4 linked regions of the Saccharomyces cerevisiae S288C genome follow. The gene in region 1 interacts genetically with each later gene. Each region holds a gene or a part of one and is shown in the gene's direction. Other genes may lie near its edges. The genes, in order: DPC29, YGR210C, YNR066C and UBR2.

Region 1 (4,148 bases):
TTTGTATGCCCAAATCTCTTCAATTGCACTTGGTTATAACAACCCTGCTTTGATCAAGGCAGCACAATCACCAGAAATGATCCGTGCTTTGGTCGACCGTCCTGCCTTAGGTAACTTCCCATCTAAGGATTTAGACAAGATATTGAAGCAAATATTGAAATCTGCGCCAAAGGGTCAAGATCACGTCTGGTCAGGGCTTTCCGGTGCAGATGCCAATGAATTAGCGTTCAAGGCTGCCTTTATTTATTACCGTGCCAAACAAAGGGGCTATGATGCCGATTTTTCTGAAAAGGAAAACTTGTCTGTCATGGACAATGACGCCCCTGGCGCCCCTCATCTTGCCGTACTATCGTTCAAGAGAGCGTTCCACGGTAGATTGTTTGCCTCCGGTTCCACAACTTGTTCTAAACCAATTCACAAGTTGGATTTCCCAGCCTTCCACTGGCCTCATGCTGAGTATCCATCTTACCAATACCCATTAGATGAAAATTCTGATGCAAACCGTAAAGAGGATGACCATTGCTTGGCCATTGTTGAAGAATTAATCAAAACCTGGTCTATTCCAGTTGCTGCCTTAATCATCGAACCAATTCAATCTGAGGGAGGTGATAACCACGCTTCTAAGTATTTCTTACAAAAGCTAAGAGACATTACCTTGAAGTATAACGTTGTCTACATCATAGATGAAGTGCAAACAGGTGTCGGAGCCACCGGTAAGCTATGGTGTCATGAGTACGCCGATATTCAACCACCTGTGGATTTAGTGACCTTTTCCAAGAAATTCCAAAGTGCAGGATATTTCTTCCACGACCCTAAATTCATTCCAAACAAACCATACAGACAATTCAACACATGGTGTGGTGAACCTGCAAGAATGATCATTGCAGGTGCCATTGGACAGGAAATCTCCGACAAGAAGTTGACTGAACAATGTTCAAGAGTAGGTGATTATTTGTTCAAGAAATTGGAGGGTTTGCAGAAGAAATACCCTGAAAACTTTCAAAACTTGAGAGGTAAAGGAAGAGGCACATTCATTGCCTGGGATTTGCCTACTGGTGAGAAGAGAGACTTACTATTGAAGAAATTGAAGTTGAATGGTTGCAACGTTGGTGGATGTGCAGTCCATGCAGTGAGATTAAGACCTTCATTAACATTCGAGGAGAAGCATGCTGATATCTTTATTGAAGCATTAGCCAAATCAGTTAATGAATTATGATTGTATATTAGCGAGGCCGTGTCACGTTCCCTTTTTTGGTCTTTATATATGTGTATCTTGTTATAATTTTAAAGAAAAGTTTTATATTACTCATCAGTTGTGTGTGAAAAATATGGGCGGGTATTCACAATAGGAAAAAAAAAATGGGTTTGGTGACTGCAGTAAAGACGTGCTAAAAAAAAAAAAGTTGTTTTTATCTGAACCTTAAATATATCATTTATGAGTGTATATATTATACAAACGCAATAACAGTGGCTCCCGCCCTCCACCTCCGCCTGCTACTAGTAATCTACCAGTAATTGTGTTTGTTTTGGGAAAGATCGTTCGCTTACTCACCGAACAACTTTCTGACTCTCTTCAATACAGAGTCCTTTTCAGGGTCGTAGGGATGATCTTTAGATGGAATTTCTAAAATAGCAGGGAACGCATTGGTGAAGGAGTCCACTCTAGCTCTTATGTTTTCCGCGATATGTTGGTTGATTAGAAGGATGGCAATATCGTCTCTCTCTTCAGTAAAGTGATTAAACTTGTCAGTGATTTCCTCCTTAGTAGTCTTACCTTCTTGGTAAACAAAAAAGTTCTTTTCTTGGGTTTCAGGAGTGATTTGTCCAATCCCGGCTAACAATAAACCAGTTGTAGTATCTTCGTCAGCTATCACAGCTATAAGAGTACGTTTCTCAGCCATGATTTAGTTACTATGCGTCAGTGAGACTAGCTATGAATATAGAAATGTAGTGCTCTATTTTCTTAATTCTTTGTCAACTCGATATAATAAATGTAGTGCTTGCAATTCACGTTGGTTTTCCTGTTATCGTTCGCCTTTATTTTTTTTTTTTCTTTCGTTTTCCTACTTCCCTTTACCGGCGTAAGCGCAGTGAAATTTTTTTAGTACGCACGTACGCAAGTTTCAGCAGCAATAAGGGGAAAGATGATGATAATAACTAAGAAAAACAGCAAACTTGGTATGAACGCATCAAAAATTGGAAAATGTTGGTAAGAAATAGGTATCTGGGTGAACTGCTCAAAAACTCTCGATCGTTTAGTGTGCTGAATTCCTCGGTACGTTCAGGTCACAACAAATGGTCAACCATCAAGCACGGTAAAGCCAAGAATGATGCGGAACGAAACAAAATTAATAACAAGTTTGCAAACCAGATAGCAATGTCAGTCAAGTTAGGCAACGGTATTACGGATCCGAGCATGAATATAAGATTAGCCACCAGCATCGAGCTAGCAAATAAAAACAATGTCAGCAAAAAAGTTATTGAGAACGCCATCCGGAAAGCTTCTGGAAGCAGCGCATCGGGCAAGGACTCAAACGCTTCTGAGCTATGTGTATACGAGGGAATGGGGCCCGGCGGGGTCGCTATAGTGGTGGAAGCGCTGACAGACAACAAGAACAGGACCATAGGTCTGATAAGGAGTGCATTTAATAAAGCTAATGGATCGATGACTCCAACGTTGTTTTTCTTCGACAAAAAAGGATACGTTACAATGGTACCTCCGAAGATGTTAGACACTGAGGACAAGGTGCTAGAAAGCGTACTGGAGATTCAAGGCATCGAAGACATTGCGCCTGTGCAGGAAGACGCAGAAGATTTAGAGTGTGATACCGAAACTGAAACTACAGGCCAAACTTACGAGGCGGTGATGGAACCTGCCGATACCAATAAGGTGGCCGCCCTACTGAAGGAGCGTGGTTTCCACATCAGAGACTTGGGCATCGGCTACAATGCCAAGCCGGATATGGAAGTTTTCGTGCAAGGCGATGAAACGCTCGAGAAACTACAGAAACTGACCACAGCGCTCGAGGACATCGACGAAGTGACGTCGTTGTACACTAACGCTAGCAACGCTTAATCCAACCAAACCGTAAATAAATAATCAATACCACAAATACCTGTATATACTAAACAAACAGTAGTAATAACTGTAATAAAGAGTAAAAACAACAACAAAGACAATCGTACGTAAAAACACCAAGCGGACACCAGCACTTGCCTGCTGCGGACTGTTGTCTGCGGACTGGCGGGGGTCGAGCAAGAACCGACGAAGTAACCGACGGAAGGCGGGCGGAGACGGAGACGCAGCCGAGATCTATTTTTACTCAGCGGTAATATTAGATCATGGCTAGGGGGATCTGGAAGTACAATGATGTGCTCTCCCCCTCTCAAACACAACACCAGGATGAACTAAGGGCTCATCTCGAAAGTCGAAGGTGCCTCATTCAGGTTATTAGTGGTGCCTGTTGTGTCTTCCATGAACAAGGAGCACTTAATTACTTGTTGTTGCATGAGATATCATTTTTTTTTTTCCCTCTTTCTTGGGGTCTTGACAGTCATCAAATCGAAGTTTTTAGTTTTTCTTCTTCGGGAAGATCAATTTTAGGTAGAAAAGTGTAGATGAAAAACGAAGGATACTGCTATTTACTGTAAGTACTCTTCGGTCCATATTGGAAGACCAAGGCATAATAAGGATATATTCCGAGGAGATAATTGGGATATAATCCTCCATTGCTTCCGAAATTTGTTTAAACACTTCTAGTTCATTTCGGGTTGGTTCGATCTTCGTTTCCACTTTTAACTTACTCCCAGTTAGTATAATATAAGTAGTTAAGGTATGGCAAGCTGCAATCCGACCAGGAAGAAGAGCTCTGCTTCAAGCCTATCTATGTGGAGAACGATTCTCATGGCGTTAACAACACTACCGCTAAGTGTTCTTTCGCAGGAGTTGGTTCCAGCTAATAGCACAACATCGAGCACAGCTCCTTCCATCACTTCGCTTTCCGCAGTTGAGTCATTTACGTCCAGTACCGATGCAACGAGCAGCGCAAGTTTATCAACGCCGAGTATAGCTTCAGTATCCTTTACTTCCTTCCCACAAAGTTCTTCACTGCTTACTCTTTCGTCAACATTATCCTCAGAACTTTCCT
Region 2 (4,305 bases), 390 kb from region 1:
AATCTACCACCCAATGTACCTTCTTGAATATCAAGATGTAATTCAGGAATTACCATACTACAGGTCTCAGATTTCAAAATATCACGGGACAAGTCAGCTGCATCGTCACAGTATAAAGTAATCCTTCTTCCTTTGTCAGGGATGGCACCACCGGTCTTCACCTCATTAGACTTATAACCACAATGATCGCAGACCGTCGACATGATAATGACTTCTTTAAAGTGTGGGATATTTACTGGCTTCATATGAGTTTCACACTCTTGGGTACACGATGGACAAGAAGCTCTGAATGTTTGCACCTCGTTGTTAAAGTTTTCGATGTCGGTGGCGTCTGACAAAAACTGTGGGTTTGCTGAGCCAACTTTGACAGATTCAGAAGGATTTCTTTCACGGTTGGCCAATTGTTTTAATTGTTCTTGGCGACGTTGCTCCAACTGGTCTCTAGTAATAATGCCAACTTGAACGTTTTGTTCGTCGGTTCTCACGTACTGGGTATGAGACCATTTGTGTTGAGGTTCACCGGGTTTGTATTCGATCCAGGAATTTCCCGCAGGATCATCCAAAATAAATGTAATCGGAATAGTGTTGGGTTCACAATTGATGTAGGATTTAACTTTCTGTATGAAGTCATCGATCTTCTTGTAAAGAGCTTCGTCTATAGATTTTCTCATTTCCTGGTCTTGCGACAGATCGTCGATCATCTCGGATAACAAACCTTCAACTGTCGTCAATTGACCTCTCTTAGCAGGAATCTCAATGTCTAGCTCGACAAACTTACAAGTGGCAGTTTCTGACTTAATAACTTGCCTGTTAAAATCTTCACGGCACTCCACTTTCAAAACGTAACGAGAGCCCTTCTCTTGAATTTGAGAAGCGGGTTGGATCTCACAGTTCTTAAACCCACAGTGAGGACAGTCGAATGACATAATAATTATTTCTCTGAAATAAGGGATGGAAGTCAGAAGAAGTCTGGTTGTACCGTTCTTTCCACAATTCATACAAAGAGACTCTATCTCTTGCACTGGATGGCCCATGGCGTCCTGTGCGCCGGTTAACTTGACGCCGTCATTAGCTTTGTTCTGTTCGGCTATGCTTTCATCTTCGACCTCTGCAGCAGCTTCTCCTACTGGTTTAAACAAATCTTCCTTTTGTTCGCTCATTATTTTCTATCCTATTTCTTAACGGTATAGGTATAATATGTATCTCTGTGTATATATGCGACTAGCTATTGCTAACGATGCGAACCTACCCGATAACGCTATGATTTCCTTTGCGTTGAACATCATAGCATTATAAATGTGCATCTCATCGCTGAAAAATTTTCGTCAACTATAAACTTTTAGGATATTCTAGCCCTGATGGGGCTAGAATATTCTAGAAAACTCCAGAGGGTTTCGGCACAATTTATTGTAGGGTTAGTAAGGGCTTTTTTATCAAGGTGAAAAATTCACTCGATGCCTTTTTTTTTTTTTCTCGAATAGATAGATATGCAAGAAATGTAATGCTATGCAGTGCAAAACAGATGTGTAAGTGTTCTAGGATGAATTGTAATGAGAGTTGGTTTTATTTTCATTTTGCGTTTTCGTTTTCCGTCTTTTAGCTTTTGTCCAACTAACTTGTAGTATAAGCTGTCTGTAAGAATAAAACGGAAATAGAGCCAGTATGCCCAGGGATCCATTGATTGGTATTGTGGGTAAGCCATCTTCAGGGAAATCCACCACATTAAATTCTTTGACGGACGCAGGTGCGGCGGTAGGAGCATTTCCCTTTACCACGATCGAGCCAAATCAGGCAACCGGCTACTTGCAAGTTGAGTGTGCTTGCTCCAGATTTGGCAAGGAAGATCTTTGTAAACCTAACTACGGGTGGTGTAGCAAGGGTAAGAGGCATATCCCCATCAAACTGTTGGATGTGGCAGGGCTTGTGCCTGGAGCGCATTCCGGCAGAGGGCTTGGAAATAAATTCTTGGATGATTTAAGACACGCAGATGCTCTTATTCATGTGGTGGACGTTAGTGGAACCACAGATGCAGAGGGGAAGAACACAAGAGGATATGATCCATTGAACGATATAGAATGGCTGCAAGACGAAATCAGGCTTTGGGTTGAGGGGAACCTGAAGAAAAGATGGGGGTCTATTGTGCGTAAACATACAGCAACGAAATCTAGCATAGTGGACACACTTCAAGCGCAATTCGGTGGGTACGGTTCACATGCGCCCATGATCCAAAAAGCCCTGGACAGGTTGAAGGGACTACCACCTTTGGAAAAATGGGATGACGAATGGATCACTCGAGTGGTCAAGTCCTTTATGATGGAGAAATTTCCAACTGTGTTGGCACTCAACAAGATTGACCACCCTGACGCCGATAAAAATGTTTCTAAAATCATGCTAAAGTATCCTGACACCAAAGCTGTACTGACCAGTGCAGTGACGGAAGTTTTTTTGAGGAAATTGAAAAAGCAAGGTTTTATATTATACGAGGAGGGCACGGAATTTGTTGACACATTTGAGGACGAGCCAGACAAACTAAAGCCACTGGACGACAAGATCCTTAACAGAATTGAAAATATCAGAGATTTGGTCCTGTATAGATTCGGATCTACGGGTGTTGTTCAGGTTCTGCAAGCAGCAACGGACATCCTTGGTCTAATACCGGTGTACACTGTGAAGAACATCCAGACTTTTACGGGTGGCAACGGAACCAACGTATTTAGAGATTGTTTTTTGGTCAAGCGAGGAACCCCTGTTGGCAAAGTTGCCAGGTATATCATGGGTGGCGAGGTCACCATTGCAAGCATTGAAACCGTTGGCGGCGTGAGAGTCAGTGAAGAAAGTCTTGTTGAGCCCGGTAAGAATGACATACTCGGCTTCAAGATCGCTCCAAGATCAGCATAACTTGAGTGCCAGTGAATATTAAGTAATCATCAAAGTATATGTGTAATTGTTTATACTCTTAGTAAAGGATGCTCCCTACAAGGTGGCTCTTTTCTTACTAAGCGCGTTCAGTTTCCAGCCAGCCGAAAGAGGGATATCAGTATATAAGAAAGCCATTCGGGGGATGAAAAGCTGACAAGAGAATAACGAGGACCAGTTTTTATTTGTTGTCTAGCAAGAATTATACACGCACACATACACGAGAGTCTACGATATCTTTAAATAACACATCAATAATGGTCACTCAATTAAAATCCGCTTCTGAATACGACAGTGCTTTAGCATCTGGCGACAAGTTAGTCGTTGTTGACTTTTTTGCCACATGGTGTGGGCCATGTAAAATGATTGCACCAATGATTGAAAAGTTTGCAGAACAATATTCTGACGCTGCTTTTTACAAGTTGGATGTTGATGAAGTCTCAGATGTTGCTCAAAAAGCTGAAGTTTCTTCCATGCCTACCCTAATCTTCTACAAGGGCGGTAAGGAGGTTACCAGAGTCGTCGGTGCCAACCCAGCTGCTATCAAGCAAGCTATTGCTTCCAACGTATAGTTGCCGGTATATTAACGCTACGTAAAGTACATCATGTTTACCAGTTTAAATAAACAATTTTAAAAAGAAACTCTATTACATCTATCTATCATTATTTTCTTCATTGTCTATTGTATATTTCATCATCGGTGTAACCAAGAATGTATAAAATGTCAGTCATGCTCTTGGTATTCAACTTACAAGGTGCAGCTTTCTGCACCTTTGGCTTGGCGTTCCATGCGATCCCAAACCCGGCGGTAGCCATGGCTGGCAGGTCGTTACCACCGTCACCCACCATACAACTTGCTTCAACTGGAACATTGTAGTCATTACATAGTTGCAGAAGGGTTTCACTCTTGCACTGTCCGTCTACGATAGGACCCAGTGTTTTACCGGTTAATTTTCCATCAGTGTCAACTTCCAACAAGTTTGCCTTACAAAAATCTAAACCTAACTGATCCTTGATAAAACCGGCAAACTGAATAAAACCACCGCTTAAAACAGCGAGCTTGCAATTTTTTTTGTGAAGGAACTTGCATAGTTCTGGCACACCCTTGGTGACCTCTAGCTTTTGTTTTATTTCATCATATAGTGTATCGACTTGGAGGCCTTGCAATAATTTAACGCGTTCTCTTAAAGACTCTTTGAAATCAAGTTCATTGTTCATGGCTCTTTCTGTGATCTCGTGCACTTGTTCTTCAACACCAGCATAAGCGGCAATCAATTCGATGACCTCTTGGTAGATTAATGTTGAATCCATGTCAAAGACAAAGAGCTTTTTGGCTTGACGATATTCATTGTCGACAGAAACAATAACATCAACATCATTATGACTGTC
Region 3 (4,532 bases), on another chromosome or scaffold:
CGCTAGTGTTGATGGTCTTATCATTCAATTGGCCGTCGCACCTTCTGAAACTGATTACGAGGTCTTTTATGATCAAGCCGCAGGTATGTACGTTACTAATTTCAAGCTGCAGGGTGTCTCTGACGGTTCTACAGCTACCTATGAATTTTCTTATACCACCCAAGGTGAGTCGGCATCAGGTAGCACAATGATTTTTGCCTTGCCCCATCATGAATCTTCATTTAGTGATATAATGCAAGACTACTATACCGGCATTCAACTCGCTTCTACAACTAAGGGTGTAATGAACGGTTATCTAACAACGAGCCTACAATTTTCCACATCTCTAAACAGACAAATATCTTGGTTACCATGGTCTTCTCAACTTGGCTCAAACCTTTTAGAGTATTCTAAAGAACAATTGCAATTATTAGCTGAAGTTGCCAATTCCGAATTACAGGTTAGTATTTCCGAAAGTATAAGCGGGTTAAACACATATTATTTGGGTAAAGTTATCGATAAGTATTCTTACATTCTATTAACGGTCTCCGAAATCATCCAAGATGAAGCCAGTACTAAGAGTACTTTGGAAAACATCAAATCGGCCTTTGATATTCTGCTACAAAATGAACAGACGTATCCACTAATTTACGACACAAAGTTCAACGGTTTGGTCAGTTCAGGAGATTGGGGTTCCACCAGCACGCAATACGATTTTGGTAACACTTATTACAATGACCATCATTTCCATTATGGTTACATTATTCATGCAGCTGCTGTCATCGGCTATGTTGACTCTAAACTGAATGGTACTTGGGCTGCCGACAATAAAGATTGGGTCAATTCATTGGTAAGAGATGTCGCAAATCCATCTGAAAAAGATGAATACTTTGCACAATCGAGAATGTTTGATTGGTTCAACGGTCATTCATGGGCAGCTGGACTTTATGAAAACGGTAACGGTAAGAACGAAGAAAGTAGTAGTGAAGATTACAATTTTGCCTATGCTATGAAGTTATGGGGGGCCACTATCGGTGACCAGTCAATGGAATTGAGGGGTGACTTGATGATTAGTATAATGAAGGATGCAATGAACGACTATTTCTATTATCAAAATGACAACACAGTTGAGCCTGAAGAAATCATAGGAAATAAAGTGAGTGGTATTTTATTCGATAATATTATCGATTATACTACTTATTTTGGAACAAACACAGAATATATCCACGGTATTCATATGCTACCTATCACACCAGTTTCTTCTAATATTCGTTCTGAGACTTTCGTCGAAGAAGAATGGCAGACTAAAATCGAGCCAATTATTGAATCGATAGAAAGCGGCTGGACAGGCATATTGAAGCTGAATCAAGCACTCTTCGACCCAGTAGATTCGTATGCATTTTTCAGTGATTCAACTTTTGATTCATCCACATATTTGGATAACGGAATGAGTCGCACATGGGCATTAGCATTTTCAGGGGGACTGGCCAACTCAATTGCTTAGAAAGAGAACTTGGCAAGCAGGTCTGTCGAGTCTTTCCCACTACATACATATTTTATAGAATAAATCATTTTTACTTAACTTGAAAGTTGTTGCGTTCGAAAAGACCACGGCTAACGGAGACCACTTAGGTAAATGCATGCCAGTAAGAGGTATATTAGTACTTTAATGAATGAACTTAGCAAGGTAATGCCTGCACTAAAATAAAATTCTAACGTCATCCTAAGAAGCATCAATTGGACATAGTGAGGAAAAGTTTTCACCATTTAAAATTTGTTTTGCAGAATACCATTCTAGACTATGATCCCTTAGAGATTCTCATTCTTTAAATATCAGCTTCAACAGCATATCTTTATAGTATTATCGTACTACTGGCGACATTAGCAAATCAAAGTATTTTTGCTCAGTTTCTAGTTTTATCTGTTTGATTCCCCATTAGATGGTAAACACGTTGTCTTGATGACTGAAAAGGAAGTGAACATGGTCAACTCAAAATAACCAGACTCAAAATAATTGCAATTACCTAGGCTAGATATTTTTAGAATATTATGAGAATATTTTTAGAATATTTGCAACCCAAAATATATTTAAATGCCGCCAATTTGCAACCAAAAGATTATCCGCTACCTTTTTTTTAGTCATTGAATCGTAGCATAAAGTTCCGAGCTTTGAAAAAAAGCTTTGAACTAAGAAAAGGTAAGAGATCCTCAATTATGATATTACTCCAAGTCATATGCACGATTTGGACATGTCTCTTTATTCCGTTACTCAATGCAGAGGAATTCGTCCCCAAAGTAACGGAGACTCTTTCAGAATATTCATTTAGTCTAGAGAGCTTTGACGATTCCAACAGTTTAATCAGATTAGATAATCAAGTCGTGTGGATAAGTTCCGATTCTGGAGAAAATTGGGAAGCGGTCAAAGAAATTGAAGGGCATATTCTCGAATTAATTGTTGATCCTTTGCATGGACAGGACAGGGCTTTTGTTTCGATACATTTATCACCCAAATTTTACGTCACCGATGATCGTGGAAAATCATGGAGGGCTCTGACTATACCCGTCTCTGAAAACTGTCGTTTGGGTACTTCTTGCTCTATAGCTACCCATCCGACAGATAAAAAGTACCTTATTGCAGATTGCCCTTGCTTTATAAACGACAATGGTTATATCCAAATACAAAATGAAACTTACTTTACCAACGATGGGGAATCCTTTTACAATATCGAACCTTCCTTGAAAAAGAAAGAAGATGACCATATAACAAGTTCAAGCTGCAACTTTGTCAAATCTAGCAAGGATTCTGATATTGAGGGTAACGACGCTTCGATACTATGTTTGTTCTCGAACCATGGTTACGATAGCGATCGTCACTTAAGTGCCGCATATACACAATTAGCCTTAAGTACTGATGGAGGTAAAACTTTCAAAAAATTTGATGAGTTTAATGATAAAATTATTTATCAATACAAGATATTAAAATCACATATAATCGTTTCGACACAAGATGATAGATACAATGAAATGTCACCCATGGACATCTGGATATCCAATGATGCGTCTACTTTTCAAAAGGCACGTCTACCTGCTCAAGTACGGCACGTCCATATGTATGGAATTTATGAAGATTCTATTGGAAGAATAATCATTCCTATATCTACGATATTCACAGATGAAAAAAACGACCAACCAGCTCCCTCAGAAATTTTAATATCAGATTCTCAAGGGTTGAAATTTTTACCTGTTGAATGGACAATAAATCCTCACTTTGGTTATATTGATATTGCTTCTCCTCATTTCTTAGAAGGAACAATAATTGGCTCGTTTCATCCTTCCTTTGACTACTCTCATAACAAAGGAAAATATAATAAAAAGATAGCCAGATATGAAACTAAAATATCTGTTGATAACGGCCTCACATGGTCAAATTTGAAAGTGGTTGACGAGGAAAATGCAGATTCATTCCCTTGTGATATCACTAGGCCTGAAAGATGTTCGCTCCAGAACCCTTTTTATAGTATCTAAATCTCAAATCCTACTGCCGGAATTATGTTAATGACAGGTTCCGTTGGCGACGGTAGTGAATTCGATTGGGAAGACCAAAAAACTTTCATCTCTAGAGATGGCGGTTTAACGTGGAGATTTGTTCATAATTCTTCTGGGTTATATGCTACTGGTGACCTGGGAAATATTATTGTGTATATCCCATATGATCCAGAGGAAGATGGCGATTTTCAATCTGAATTTTATTATTCTTTGGACCAAGGTAGAACATGGAATGAATATGAGCTGACCAATGCCATAAGTTCTGTCCATCCCTACAAATTGATAAATCCAACACCAGATGGATCTGGCTCAAAATTTATTTTTAAAGGAACGTTTGCCACTACCGATTCCGAAACCAACAGTATAACTTCTTTAAAAGGTGTCGAGTATATAATTGATTTTTCAGCAGCATTCGACTCTAGAACGTGTGAGGAGGAAGATTTTGAAGATTGGGATTTGGCGGATGGGAAATGTGTTAATGGCGCCAAATACAAGTATAGAAGGAGGAAACAAGACGCCCAGTGTTTGGTAAAAAAAGCATTCAAAGATTTGAGTTTAGATGAAACGCCTTGTAATAGTTGTGGTGAATCCGACTACGAATGTTCGTTTGAATTTGTTAGGGACGCAAACGGCCTGTGTATACCAGATTATAATCTGATTGCCTTTTCCAACATATGTGACAAATCGAAGGATAAATCTGTGTTAGTAGAGCCATTACAATTAATCAAAGGTGATGAATGTAAAACACCCATGAAAATTGAACCCGTTGATATTCCGTGTGACGAAATTCCAGAGGAGGGTTCGAGTGACAGGGAAATAGTGACCACTGAAAACAAATTTGACTTCGAAATTAAATTTTACCAATACTTCGATACAGTTGCCGACGAATCTTTGGTCATGCTGAATTCGATAGGAGACGCCTATATATCCCACGATGGTGGACAAACAATAAAAAGGTTTGACACTAACGGCGAAAAAATTGTTGAAGTTGTGTTTAACCCATATTT
Region 4 (8,661 bases), on another chromosome or scaffold:
TTCTCTGAGATAGGCGCCGCATTAACATTATTATTAACGATCTTGGACGTTTCTTGGTTAGCATTTTCTTGAGCCAGCATGTCCAATTCCTCGTCCAGCTCATCTTCATCCACCTCGTTTGCCCCAGTAATTAAAGGCCTGGATATAGCGTCGCTTATTTCATCTCCTAATTCGACTTGCTCCCTTATCTCGTCCATAGTTTCATCCACTTTATCTATGTCAAGGCCACTGTGAATAGTTTTCATTGCCTTAGCACCTTCCTGCATAGCCCTCATTGTCTCTAGATTTAAGTTTGCACTTTCTATAGAGAATAGCTGCTGTTCCATAGACTCCATTGTGCCTTCTACCTTACTTAAAAGTTGTTCGATTGTCTTCTTCTTTTTAAGTGCATTCTTCGCCATTACTTTATTGCCCTTCGTCAAAAAGATTCTAGCTTCATTCTCTTGATTTGTAATTTGAGTACGTAAATGCGATTGCTTTTTGGATAGAAGGTTGATATGCTCCCTCAACCGCACTATGGCCTTTGTTGGTGACTCTTTATTCTTGGCATTACTTGATGTCCAACCAAAAAGTGATGACCACATGCCTTATTTATCAATACTGTTATGTTTCTGCTGCTTCCGTCCGAAATACAATATCTTACCCTTTAGAAGCTCGTACTTCCCCTGCTCTGCCAACTATTCATGATTCGAAATCACCCACCGACTTATTTAAAAATCCCATCTTTTATCAAAAGGGTCGAACATGAATCGTATAAAATGATGCATATAACAAAAGCTATGTAGTATATATATTTGCTATTACTTACCAACATTAAGCATTGGTTAGTTACGGAACTCCATCGTTGTCGTTACTCTGCTCACCCCCACCTCAATAACTACTTTACATAAGTATGCGGCATATAACAATATGACAAGTCATCCTATAATTAAAAAAGTTAACTGTCACCATAGCATAACCGCCAAGCGCTAAATTAAGGGGGAAAGAAAAGAACGGTGTTGAACGCAAGCTATCTACCTCTTTCTTTGATGCGGTTGAAATATTATACTCGAATAACAACCATTTATAGAGGCGAAATCACTAGAATGGCCGGCTTAGTATAAACAATACCGAGTACGCCAATTTTATGGTACACAGTTTATACGTAATACTGATTTCCGACGAAGCCGCAATTGTAAGTCAAAACTTGAATTAATTAGTCTCACATGGCTGACATAACGAAGAATAAAATTAGGGAAAATACCGCCAAAATTTATCCCCCGTTTAGAGGAAGGTGATGACTCGACTCATCAATTTTCAATCTACATATAGCTACGTATTCATGCCACTCACTTCTTAGGATGTTAGATGTAACAAACCGAGCAATCATAAGGCCCATGTTATAATATTTGCGGGGCAAGTGTTACTGGTCCTAGATCCTAATTGCCCGTTTCTTCACTAGATGTGCAAAAAGCACACCATCACTTATCACGTTGTGGTGACAACGGCGGCAATTTCCAGTGGCGTTTGTTGAACTTTTAGGCGATATCAATAAAGAGCATCGTCAATGTACAGCTGTGGGGAGAAACCCAATAATCAACGCATTCATACTTTCAATTGCTTGGCATATTACTAACAACTCTATAAAAAAAAAAAGTTGCTCAAGCTTTTTAAAAAAAAGAGCCGGCTTTTTTTTCTAATTATTATCATTTACTCGTCTCTGATAGTAAAGGTAAGATTCGTTAACTAAATTAATAGCTACTTAACAAGCACGCATGGAAGATTCTGACCTGTCTATAACCAATATAAGAGATTTTCTTACCGAGCTCCCCAAACTCGCGAAATGCGAATATAGCGAAACCACTAGTTATTTACTATGGAAAACCTTAAATCTACGCCTTAAGCATAGTGATAACGATATAAACTGGCGCTCTCTCGTTTCAATACTCAATTCTGAAGCCTGGGAAAACGAAAAGTACAGAGACATACTAAATGGAAGAAAGTGGAGGACCCTGGAGTTCGAGAATGACCACCACTCTGTGGGTAATATGCATATTGGAACAGCGTGTACGCGTTTATGCTTCCCCTCTGAGACAATTTATTACTGTTTTACGTGCTCCACAAATCCATTGTATGAAATATGTGAGCTTTGTTTCGATAAAGAAAAACATGTAAATCATTCTTATGTTGCTAAAGTGGTAATGCGCCCAGAAGGCAGAATATGCCATTGTGGTGACCCCTTTGCCTTTAATGACCCAAGCGACGCGTTCAAGTGCAAGAACGAATTAAATAATATTCCTATTTCTAACGACAATAGTAACGTAACCGATGATGAAAACGTAATCTCCCTATTGAATTATGTTCTGGATTTTTTAATTGATGTAACTGTTTCATACAAAGAGGAGGCAGAAGCCCATTCAAGCGAGAGAAAAGCATCCTCCCTAATGCATCCTAATCAAAACAGCATTACTGATGATATAATGGAAAAACACGAATGTGAACCATTGGTCAATGATGAAAATTTTGTTTTCTTTGATAACAATTGGTCCAATACGAGAAAAGAAGCACATATGGAGTGGGCTATTCAAATCGAAGAAGAAGAGTGTAACGTACACTACATGGATTTAGCATCTACAATAACAAGAATTTTGAATACACCGGTTGAATATGCAATCTCAATAACGAAGGCTTTAGAAGATTCACACGATGTAGTGACTGTGCTACAAAGTGAGAATTTTTTCGAAATAGATCAAATAGCCAAGGAGTTTCAAAAGGAAAACATAGTAGTTCATGTAAGAAAAGCGGATGATATATTCAAGAGAAAGTTAACAGATGATTTAACAGATTGGTTATATTCTCTGTGCTTTAAGGCGGCCACGTCTTTGCAAAATAAATATGCTCTTAGAATTTCCATGCTAGATGTTTGGTATTCCCATTTTTCTAAAATGAGAGTATCTCCCACAAATACCAATCCTGACTTTTCTAAGATTAACTTATTAGGTGGATTCTTAATATCTAACGAAGATAGTGATGAATCATGGTTTAAACCTTGGTCATTAGAGAACATTGAAGACGAAAGAATTTCAAAAATACTCACTAATTACAATGAAAGGTTGATCAGAGCCCATTCGCCGAACACAGTAAGCCATTTCTACAATTTCTATGGATCTAGATTCCAATATATTATCATCAATTCTATTAATATCCTCTCAAAAAAATCTAAATTCAAAATGTTAAAGATCATGGCGTCATTATTCTCGTTAAGGGATGAAAGCAGAAAGTTTCTTGCCGCACAATATATTGATGTTTATCTATCGGTCTTGTATGATGCAGTTGCATCAGATGCTAAAGAATGTCAGGTAACTCTTATGAGTATATTAGGGCAATACACTTTCCAAGACCCCAGCATAGCAAATATGACTATAAGCTCGGGATTCATTGAACGAACTATTAGATTTGCTTTTACTCTCATGGCATTCAATCCAGAAGACTTGATGTCATATTTGCCCATCTCTTTATACAATGGCTTTAAGTTGCCCACCGAAACAATACGAAATCGAAGGACAATTATTTGCTTTAAAGACCTTTGTACGATAATGTCAGCGAACACTGTTCCGGAAGAACTACTTTCAAATGAGGCAATTTTTAACGCAATAATTGAGTCCTTCTCTGAATTCAGTAACGTGCTGCCATTGAAAAGGGAAACTAAAGAACACGTGGAGGTTGAAAACTTTGATTTTTCTGCATTTTATTTTTTTTTCTCATCAATACTAATAATGACAGATGGATACACACGTAGTATATCTTTGGTCAAAGATGCGGCTTTCCGTAAGCAAATCGTCCTTAAACTACTTGATGTTGCTCAAACCAGGGAATTTGAATCACTAACCAATTCTAGAAAAGCTATATCACCTGATAACGCATCAACGAATGAAAATGATTCGAACAAAGCGACTTTGTCTACAGTCAGAGAGACGATATGCAATTATGTCGCAGAGACTATTAATTTCCAGGTAGGTGTAAATACACAGTATTTTTTCAATCCAATGTCATATTTGTTCAAATTTGTTATTCAATGGAGTCAATGTGGTAGATATGAGCCAATTCCTGCTTCTTTGACAAACTACATTAATCTCTTCGAAGTTTTTCAAGATAAGCAGAAGGCTTTATATATATCAGAATCTGCTTTGTCAACCCTAGTCCTAATCGGGCAAATAAACGTCGGTTTCTGGGTAAGAAACGGAACTCCAATTACTCACCAGGCCCGGATGTATACAAAATACAGTATGCGAGAATTTACTTATATTAGTGACATTTTCAATGTGCAATTTAGTATGGCAATGTGCAATCCTGATGAACTGATGGTTACTTACCTCTCAAGGTGGGGTTTGAAGCACTGGGCAAATGGTGTACCTATGTATGATTATCCTGATACAGAAACAACTGTAGCCGTTGTTAATGAATGCATTCTGTTATTGATTCAATTGCTTACTGAAGTGAGATCATTGGTCATGAAATCATCAAAGGAAGGCTTCGAGAGAACGTTCAAATCAGAAATAATTCATGCCCTTTGCTTTGATACATGCTCTTACGCACAAATTGTTAACTGTATTCCAGAACATATCACCAAGCACCCTTCATTTGATATATATCTCGAAAAATACGCCAATTACACTTCTCCTGTAAGCTTGACTGACAATGGCATTTTCGTGTTGAAAGAAAAGTATAAAGATGAGATTGATCCTTATTATATAGGGTTGTCTTCCAGTAGGAGGTATGATGTAGAGAAAAATATCAGGCTGAATATGGCAAATTTGAAGAAAATGAAATATGAAGATACTTTTGTACCAGCAAAAAAGGTTAAAGATTTGTTGAAGAATACATTATTTTCTGGGCTGTATTCAATATCATCAGTGAATACTTTTGGTTTATTTTTGAAAAATACTTTAGATCACATTATAAAATATGATTATGACAATTTATTGCCGAGAGTGGTTCATTTGATTCATTTATGCGTGGTTAATAATCTGAATGAATTTATGGGGATACTGTGGCATGAATACGCAATTGTGGACACAGAATTCTGTCATTACCACAGCATTGGTTCTATCCTGTATTACTGTTTGTTGAAGGATAATTTTTCGGAATCTCATGGTAAGATTAGGGAAATTTTCAGGTATTTAATGGAAACAGCGCCTCACGTAAATGTAAACAGTTATTTGAGGGAGCAAACCACGTCATATACACCAGGAATATTGTGGCCTACAAAGGAAGATAAAAGCCACAAGGATAAAGAATTTGAAAGGAAAAAACATCTTGCTCGATTGAGAAAGAAAAAATTAATGAAGAAGTTGGCTCAACAGCAAATGAAATTCATGGAAAACAATAGTGTAGATACTTCCGATATTAGTACACCCAGAACCACATCACCTAGTTTATCTCCCACTAGAATAAATGCAGAGAATAGTAGTAACACAATCAACAGTTGCTGCGATGATGATTGCGTATTTTGCAAGATGCCGAAGGATGACGATGTATTTGTTTATTTTTCATACCAAGAACGGAACATATGTGATCATGGAATTGATTTTACGAATCCTACAGATGTTAATAGAATAAATTCGCTGTTCAGTGGTAAGCAAACAAAAGACAGTGCAATCCAAGAAAACCCCCAGGATGATGATGGAACGAGATTGAAATTTACTAGCTGTGAACCAGTATTAAGAGCATGCGGGCATGGGTCTCATACCAAATGTTTAAGTGGCCATATGAAGTCGATTCGCGGAATACAAAACCAAACTACAAAAAATATTCCATTATCGTATGGTTCAGGGTTGATATATTGTCCCGTATGCAATTCCTTAAGTAATTCATTTCTACCAAAAACAAATGATATAGATAAGAGAACTTCGAGCCAGTTTTTTATGTGTATTGAAAAGCGAAGTGAAGCGGAAGAAAACCTTGACCCAATGAGCTCTATTTGTATTAAAGCAGCGATGATTCTAGGTGATCTTCAGGGTAAAAAAGTCACGACTATCGAAGATGCATATAAAGTTGTTAATAGTGTTTTTATTAATACTATTTCAAATACTGAGCTCAGATTAAGATCGCACAAAAAGGAAGGAAAAATAGTGAATATGGAAAGAATATCCAGTCAGTGCATTTTAACCTTACATTTAGTTTGTGAGCTAAAGTCGTTTATTTACAAAAAATTTGTTAATTCAAAAACATTCAGCAGCGAAATCTCTCGTAAAATATGGAATTGGAATGAGTTTCTAATAAAGGGTAATAATGTGAATCTACTTTTGTATATGAGTCAAAATTTTGATAATATTGATGGAGGAAAAACCCCGCAACCGCCTAACCTATGTATCTATGAAATGTTCAAAAGAAGGTTCCATCAACTACTACTGTTGCTTGCAAGAGATATGATGAGAGTAAACTTTTACAAAGACTGTCGAAATAAAATCAAAATATCATCAAACGGATCTGAGGAACCATCGACAAGCTTTTCATATCTATTCAATACTTTTAAAAAGTATGTTGATCTCTTTAAACCAGACGACGTTCGGTTTGATTTTACAAGTTTAGAGAAAATTAAAGACTTTATATGCTCTCTATTACTAGAGTCATTGTCCATTTTTTGTAGAAGAACCTTCTTATTATTCAACATTCAGTATGATGATGATGGTGATGGTGATAATAATAATAACCGCAGCAATAATTTCATGGACGTCAAACAGCGTGAAATAGAGCTTATTTTCCGGTATTTTAAATTACCCAATTTAACTCACTTTTTGAAGGATTTTTTCTACAACGAACTAACACAAAATATAGAAAGGTATAATGATGGTAATGATAATTTGAGAATTCAGCAAGTAATATATGACATGGTGCAGAACATAAACACAAGAGCATATCCTTCACCAGAGCATATCCAGCTTATCGAACTACCATTGAACCTTTCCAAATTTTCCCTTGATAATGATGAAATATCGAATAAATGTGATAAATACGAAATCGCAGTATGCTTGTTGTGTGGCCAAAAATGCCATATTCAAAAAAGCATAGCACTGCAAGGTTATTTACAGGGGGAATGTACTGATCATATGAGAAATGGATGCGAAATCACCTCCGCTTACGGAGTTTTCTTAATGACCGGCACAAATGCGATATATCTGTCATACGGCAAAAGAGGTACATTTTATGCTGCACCTTATCTAAGTAAATACGGAGAGACCAACGAAGACTACAAATTCGGTACTCCCGTCTATTTGAATCGGGCGAGATACGCGAATCTAGCGAATGAGATTGTTTTTGGCAACATGATTCCGCACATAGTGTTCCGACTAACGGACGGCAGTGCAGATCTTGGTGGGTGGGAGACTATGTAGTTATCCAACAAATGTCTAGTCATTCAAAATTGCTACGAAATTAGCGTATCCGAAAAATCAAAAGAAATTTTATCTGTTTTAATTGGCGTGGGGAAGTGGGGTAGGGTCGAGGATCATTACGCTTTCTCGTGGGAAGGGACAGGGACGGACCGAAAAAAAAAGAAATGCCGCAGAAAAAGAAATGTTTTAGTGTGGGGTATGGGCTGAAGCTCGTATAGTGCAGGGTGACTTCACTTTTCTTTTTACCCTGCAGGAAATGGAGAAAGTGTTGATGGATAAGGTATATAGTCATAAGGTGACACAGCGTGGGTGTACATCTAGAAAGCTTGGCGATTCGAGCGAAGTGGTGGTTTACTCGTTTTATAATAAGAGTTTTTGGACATTATTTTTTCTTTAGGACACAGTTGATTCAAATTCTACACTTGTTTTGTCGTCTGGTAAAGTTTAGCCATTGTAAAGTGGACAAAGAAGAAGCTGCAACGCAGATAAGCTGAAAAATAGTTCACATCCCAACAGACAATCAAATTAAGTACATGATGGACTCGTCAAGCAAAAGCTTAACTCAGTATATACCCTCACCCATGGGATCTCTATCAAGGCTAAAGCAGAAGGGTGTGGACAATTTTCAGAAGGTGAAAAAATCCGGTAAATCCATCTATAATTACAACTACTCAAAATTCGTTCCTCATCCATTTTCAACTATTGATGAAAGTGTTAAACACTCTGAAAGTGGGCGGTATGATGATTTGGAGATAATTCGTCCAACAAAAGAAAAGGAAGTAACAAGTTCTGTGTACAAAAGAAACAGTGGCAAGTCTCTGAATACAGAATCTCAGTTTTCACTGGGAGATTCAGATGCAGCCACTTTGGTGAATTCAGTCGCTACTTTCAAGCTTAACAATGCTTCTACATCCACTTCACTGGTGTCTTCATCTTCAACTGTATGTTCTCAAGCGAAGTCCTCGTTACGTTCCCCAACAAGTCGTCTCAATGATACAAAAATCAAAGAGGAAAACAATTATATTTCCAGCGTGAAAGACTATTGCGGTCCAATGAGAAAATCCATGGTAAAGACGGAAATCCTCATTGAAGAACCTTTGAATCCTACTACCGATATCAAGTCTTTTATAAACTCATACAACCATGGCAAAGCGTATAGTCTAGGTGAAACTCAACATTTACATTATTATCAGTTGCCATTCCCATGGAGGGAAAACAGATACATAATCCATGGCTATAGGTTTTACAATACCCATTCCAAATCTTTGTTGTCTATCTTTAACTGGTA

What was found.
Region 2: mutations in DPC29 (region 1) and YGR210C together harm fitness more than expected from each alone (negative genetic interaction), as found in Saccharomyces cerevisiae (2 studies listed by BioGRID).
Region 3: mutations in DPC29 (region 1) and YNR066C together harm fitness more than expected from each alone (negative genetic interaction), as found in Saccharomyces cerevisiae (2 studies listed by BioGRID).
Region 4: mutations in DPC29 (region 1) and UBR2 together harm fitness more than expected from each alone (negative genetic interaction), as found in Saccharomyces cerevisiae (2 studies listed by BioGRID).

Annotation. Positions count from the first base shown.
Region 1 is NC_001139.9:525,429-529,576, forward strand, and holds DPC29 (post-initiation translation factor DPC29), read left to right. Parts: upstream 1-2,203; coding exon 2,204-3,076; downstream 3,077-4,148. Other genes in the region: UGA1 (4-aminobutyrate transaminase), read left to right, coding at 1-1,216; VMA7 (H(+)-transporting V1 sector ATPase subunit F), read right to left, coding at 1,545-1,901; MTL1 (Mtl1p), read left to right, coding at 3,836-4,148.
Region 2 is NC_001139.9:912,096-916,400, reverse strand, and holds YGR210C (uncharacterized protein), read left to right. Parts: upstream 1-1,662; coding exon 1,663-2,898; downstream 2,899-4,305. Other genes in the region: zinc finger-containing protein ZPR1, read right to left, coding at 1-1,160; thioredoxin TRX2, read left to right, coding at 3,174-3,488; SER2 (phosphoserine phosphatase), read right to left, coding at 3,589-4,305.
Region 3 is NC_001146.8:752,697-757,228, reverse strand, and holds YNR066C (uncharacterized protein), read left to right. Parts: upstream 1-2,193; coding exon 2,194-3,504; downstream 3,505-4,532. Other genes in the region: DSE4 (endo-1,3(4)-beta-glucanase), read left to right, coding at 1-1,483; YNR065C (uncharacterized protein), read left to right, coding at 3,529-4,532.
Region 4 is NC_001144.5:186,375-195,035, reverse strand, and holds UBR2 (putative ubiquitin-protein ligase UBR2), read left to right. Parts: upstream 1-1,754; coding exon 1,755-7,373; downstream 7,374-8,661. Other genes in the region: ESCRT-III subunit protein SNF7, read right to left, coding at 1-584; IZH3 (Izh3p), read left to right, coding at 7,907-8,661. UniProt on the Saccharomyces cerevisiae protein: E3 ubiquitin-protein ligase which probably functions outside the N-end rule pathway, since it lacks the residues essential for the degradation of N-end rule substrates. Mediates RPN4 ubiquitination and subsequent degradation.